Linked DNA regions of Xenopus tropicalis. The protein of the gene in region 1 interacts with the protein of each later gene in a biochemical or structural test. Links are inferred from orthologs where the notes say so. Each region holds a gene or a part of one and is shown on either strand. Other genes may lie near its edges.

Region 1 (2,999 bases):
CCAGTACTGTGTAATAGGAATGTCGGAAACACGGCTCTTGTGAACTGCTAAGTCCAGACTCCTGAGCAAGCACACTGCTGCTTCAGGAGAAGGACACGTTTAGTCCACATTCAATTTATTATAGAAGGATTAACTGGGGATGTGTCACTGCGTAAAATGTTAAAGCATAAAGGCACTACTTACTCTGTCCATACTGGGGATATTGGTATCCTGTGACAGGCTCCATGCTGTAACCTGAGGTGCTGTATGTTGGTGGGCAGTAAGACTGTGATGTTGACAGACTATCCAAGCTCTTCATATGTTCCAGTCTCTGGCTACAACTTGCTGATACAGCTGTGGGAGGCTCCAGGCCTCCAGTTAAAGGAGATAAGGCATAATCCGTCTGAGGCTGATGTGGAACTCCACCATGGTTAGTCAGGAGACCCATAACCTGCAGGAAATAAACAGATTGCATTTTAAATTTTACTTCGTGACTGTTGTTACGAAATGACACATCTTATATTTTTTTGTATTTAAAAGTACAGGTAAACATATACAGTTAATGAATATCTAACTTATATCCTCATTTATTTATGTAGCAGCAAGTTACTCAGCACTTAAAAATATAGAAAAGAAACAAGGGACTTCTAATAAATGAGCAAACCAGAATTACAGTATAAGGCTGATGTCCCATAGGGAGGTTAATTAACTACAATAAATCTCTGCTACTGTGGGCGACTGATCTCCACAAAAAGTCTTTCCACCAGCAATAAAGGGAATTGGCAGTGGAGGTCGTACAAAGTTGCCGGCAGGAGGAAACTGTGTGCAACTTCAGAAAAACGAATCAACACATAGGCCTTTCCACTGGCGATTCTCTTTGTTGCCGGCGGAAAGGCATTTCGTGTTGTTGATAAGTTGTGCATGCAACCAGCCCCACAGAGTCTGTCTCTCTCAATCTGATATTGAGATTCCAGTGCTATGGGAATCTACCTGCACTTAATTAACATCTTCCATAATTTGATTTTCATGCTTGGGTCTATTTGAAAAGCTAAAAAGAGAAGCCGCCTCAGGCTTCAGGGCCCTGTTTTGTTTTGTTTTTTTGAGCCTTGACCTATTTGCCTACATGGAGAGTTGACCAAAGGGCACAGTCACCTTGCCCTAATCACTTCTCTCTGTTTAACTGTTTCCTGGTTAAACTAAGCTCTGTTTTCATTTTTGTACACCAGGGATCCCCAACTTTATTTATTCATGAGCCATACTCAGAAGTAAAAAGAGTTGGTGAGCCACACAAACATTAAAACCCCTGGGAATAACATCAAATAGGGTGGTGAGCAACATGATCACTGCAATAGAAGATCAGTTTGCAGAAATGTGTCCCTTTCTCACTGTAAGCTCTTTCCACCATCTACTCATAATGTGTAGGCAGCTTGGTTGTACAGCACAGAAATAAAGTGTTGCATTTGGTCTGTTTTCATTTTGTGTCATGGACAGAAGGGTTAATATCCAATGACTGTTAGCCGTTAATGTTTTCTGTTCATATTTGACCCTGACACATGTGCAGCGTGTAATTTACGGAAGCTCTCTCCACAGGAAGCTGGACACGTTGTCCTGAAGATGTCCAGAGCTTTACTCAATGGTGATGGGAACCAGATGCAGCGCAGATTCTCAGTTCTAAGAAAAATTGTGCCACCTGCCCTTTACTATCCCCGCTGAGCACAATGCCTTTCAAATTCCTTAGCCATGTTCACACAAGCATGAATCAACTGATGGCAGTTTCTATCCCTCATACCTGTAGCTGAATATCTCCATCATGTGTATTTAATCTGACTTACACCTCAGTGGGATTTTGTACTAATAATCGTATTTTGTAAATCAGTCTGTGGGGACTGTACGTATAAAGGGGAATTCCAGACTTGCAGACAAAAAGACAGTTACATCTGGATGTTTCCAATACATTAAGGAAACTACAAACTACATGAACATTTATATTAGGAATTCGTTTTTGCTTATTTGGCAGATGCACATATTCTGTATGACATGCACACAAGTCACTTCCGCACCCCAAGAAGCAGAAGGTTGTTAAAGACACACTGAATCACCAGCGGATAAAAATTGGACAGGGTGGGTGTATGAGCTGCCTCTTATACTTAAGCGTTTCCACATGGCGCCTTCCTGGAAGGCTAATCCAGGGCCTTGTTACCTTTATATATAGACTCCAAAGCCCCACTAAGCAATGACAAAAGATGTGTAAACTTAAGGCACAGGATAACTACAAAAAAGCTTCTACACAAACAAATTTGGCATCTATGTGCCCTGCGCTTAAATTATGGCAACATGACATTCTGAAATAACATCCTTACTTCTATAAACGAAAAGGTACAACGAACCCCTTATACTCCACAAGGCAAGTGATAGAATAAAGAAGTAAGCACCATGTTTGGACATGCAGGAATTTATTTCTCACTTATCTTTAGATCTGTACCTGCAACGCATTTGGATTATCCTTCCAAAAGAAGCATACAGCATGCATGGCAGCCTCTGGAGAGGATCTGGGCAAGGGGCATGTTTAGAGCCATGCGAGGCCTGCATAGCTGTGTCTCAGGCCAACCCTGACTGGCAATCTGTGGATTCTGGCAAATGCCAGAGGGGTTGCTGTAAGGTGCCACAGCCAGTCCCTATTTATTGGGATGATTGGGGGCTGTTTGGGCCTCTGTGTACTTAAAATGCCAGGGACTAATTTGGCCTGTTACAGGCAAGCTAAACAGTATCTGGAGTAACCGCTGGAGAATAAGGATGAGGATGGATAGGAACCGATACATAGTTTATTAGCATATTAATCAATTTACAGTTGCTAGAGCTAGTTATATATTATTCTTTATTCTGAATTGGGGGGGTTTGAATTTTAATTCTTCACCAGTATTGAAACATGATTTGTTCACTTTAGTGACCAGATTTGCCTTGTTAACTTGTTCAACTAACAAAGCAACGCCACTCACTGCATCTTTAAATGTATGAAATTA
Region 2 (2,918 bases), on another chromosome or scaffold:
CCATCTAGATCACCGACATGGTTCTCCCATGTCTGATGGGAATTCAGAGCACTCTGCAGGTACAGCTTTAAGAAAATATTTTAGAACCACTGGGGACGACATTTTAATATTGTTATATAATGCATATTATAGTATAATAATTACTTTATTACGCAATAAAGCAAATTGTTATCTATAGAAAAATGAGGGGATTGTTTTAGAAAGGGTCACGGTAACATCTACCCTGTTAACTAAAAGAATTACTCAATTCCAGGTCAAAGTCATGGACCCCCTACCCCACCAACAACACCAAAGACAGAGCTTCAGGCAGGAAAGTCTGATGGCAAGAGGGATGGGTCTCGTTCATTGGGAGAAGGGGGAAAACCTCACATTGATTTTGGAAATGTGGATATAGGTGAGATCAGCCATGATGTCATGGCTAATATGGAGACATTTGACGTCAATGAATTTGACCAGTACCTTCCGCCTAATGGTCATGCTGGGCACCCAAGTCACATTGGGGGTTACACTTCCAGCTATGGCCTCAGTGGAGCTCTAGCAGCTGGTCCATCTGCTTGGGCTCTGGCAAAGCAACACCCCCAAACTGACTCCAAAGCTCAAGTGAAGACAGAAAGCTCAAGTACCAGTCATTATACAGAGCAACCATCTACATCTCAGCTGACCTACACTTCACTTGGCCTTCCACATTATGGTTCAGCATTCCCCTCCATTTCCAGGCCACAGTTCGATTATGCTGACCATCAACCATCAAGTTCTTATTACAGCCATTCCTCCCAAGCATCTAGTCTCTATTCAGCCTTTTCCTACATGGGACCTCCTCAACGTCCACTTTACACTGCAATATCTGATTCTCCAAGTGTAGCTCAGTCACACAGCCCTACACATTGGGAACAGCCAGTCTATACTACACTGTCAAGACCATGAAGAGGACAAAGCTACATAACTAAGGAGGGACAGGTCCTGAAGAATAATAGGCTCCAGCATGGTCCTTTCATAGCTCATAACCCAGGTGGAATCTGGATTCCAAAAGTATCAGTAAACCCTAGATGGTTTTTACAGACCCCTGGAAAAGACAGTGACTGGTTCTTCTTTATTGAAAAGACATAAACATAGTAGGGGTAGAATAGCAGGGCAATGCAGGGATGGGGGAAGGGAATGCATTTTTTACAAAGTTTATGGACTTGGGTCTCTTGTACAAAGGGAGGAAACTGCAACATTTGCTATACCTGTGTTTTTGATCTTAGATACTGAAGTGACATTGGAGGCTTAGGTATGTACACTCTTTGTACGATAAAACAAAAGCCTCTGACAGCCAACCAAAAGCAGCTTGACTACTTACCGAACTAACCTGGGCTGCTAGACTGTATGAAATAAGGGATAGCATGAACATCATTTTTTTTTTATCTTGGGTATTTACATGAAAGTTAGTCAACAAATAAGTATAATGCATGTTAGAATGAATGAAGTTATATCTAGCCCTCTCTTGTGCTTCAAGGGCATCAAGCAAAAACTTACTATGGACACAACACAGGCTGGAGATTCAAAACCTGCAAACTTTATTCATTGTATTGTGAATAGAGCAAGCAAATGACCTAAATGACACATTAATATGTACAGTCAGATGTCCAGAATCTAGTTTAAAAACATTCTAACACTATGTTATATGGTCAGAATTTTTCAGGGTAGGAAGTTCCACTAACCCCTTTTCATACTCTGAATACCATTTGGTCCGAGGGATCTAAGTTGCTGCGTGCCAAACATGTCATTATAACATATTCAATTCTAACATCATTTTGTGGGTTAAGTGGTCAGATAGAGTGCTTTTTTCTGATTTGGTAATTTCTATTACCGCTCATTCATGATATAGTGGGAAATAAGTTGGAGGAATAAAAAAACATTATAAGAGAACAATCTAGCTAAACAAATATCCTGTTAACATGGTAGAGCCAGGAGTCGAAACACTTCACAACAAAAGCAGTGATTTTCTGATCTGAAGCTTCTGGTGCAAGAATGTTATTTTGTCTGTATCAGAGTCTTAAATACTATAATGTCTTATTTAGCTGTTATATCATGTTGTTCTCATTTCCCATGTGCAATACTCAAACAGCAGAGAGCTAGCATGTCAGTCTATTGGAACAAAATCTATAACTTGTTGTTTACATAATGACCCCCCCCAGTTACTTGTCAATGTATGTTTAATTCTACAAGTCAGAAGTATTACAGATGGCAAAAGATGATCGCTTTCAAATGATTGTTCATATTAAGGATTCTCTGCAGTAGACATTTCCAACTCTCTTATGTTACTTTTTAGAACCATTTCCAACGTGGGAAATACAGAGGATACTATGAAGTATGTTTTTCAGGATGAAAAAAATGGAAAAAAAAGTAGAGACAATGTGTAAATATAAAACTATATATTCGTATATATATATCTATTTTTGTTTGTTTCGGGGCAGCAATGTAGAGGCCGGTGCTTCTAATCCTGTGGGTAGCAGAGAGGATTATATAGAACTGGTGCCCACAGGATTAAACCAAACCAGTGAACTTTGGGTTTAACATTTTTTGGGGGGTGGGTTTTGTTATAAAGAGGGACAGAAATCCATTAACCCATTTGGAGTTAATTCTTTAATGCTTTGCTGTATACCAATATTAACTCCGATGTATAACATAAATTGTCCCTTCCTCCATCAGTTTCCATCCAGTTATCAAATGATTGTTTTTTTTGTCATTATTGCCTATATATGTAACTGTATGTGTTTGTTATTTATGTAAATATTATCTTACCCAATTCTGGCAATTTCTTTAACTGTTCATAAACATATTCAAGATATATATTGTATTAAAAAAATAAATCTTCAGACTCAGTGTGCCTTTTTAGGCAAGGTAATTCATATGAGATATAAGATCCTTCATGGAGT

Evidence for each region.
Region 2: the proteins of pax3 (region 1) and sox10 form a complex in vitro, tested with the Homo sapiens proteins (2 studies listed by BioGRID and IntAct). The link is inferred for Xenopus tropicalis from reciprocal best matches to the Homo sapiens genes PAX3 and SOX10.

What each region holds. Positions count from the first base shown.
Region 1 is NC_030681.2:124,955,873-124,958,871, forward strand, and holds part of pax3 (paired box protein Pax-3), read right to left. Parts: intron 431-2,999; coding exon 184-430; intron 1-183. UniProt on the Homo sapiens protein: Transcription factor that may regulate cell proliferation, migration and apoptosis. Involved in neural development and myogenesis. Transcriptional activator of MITF, acting synergistically with SOX10.
Region 2 is NC_030680.2:122,164,718-122,167,635, reverse strand, and holds the end of sox10 (transcription factor Sox-10), read left to right. Parts: coding exon 1-59; intron 60-253; coding exon 254-924; 3' UTR 925-2,374; downstream 2,375-2,918. UniProt on the Homo sapiens protein: Transcription factor that plays a central role in developing and mature glia.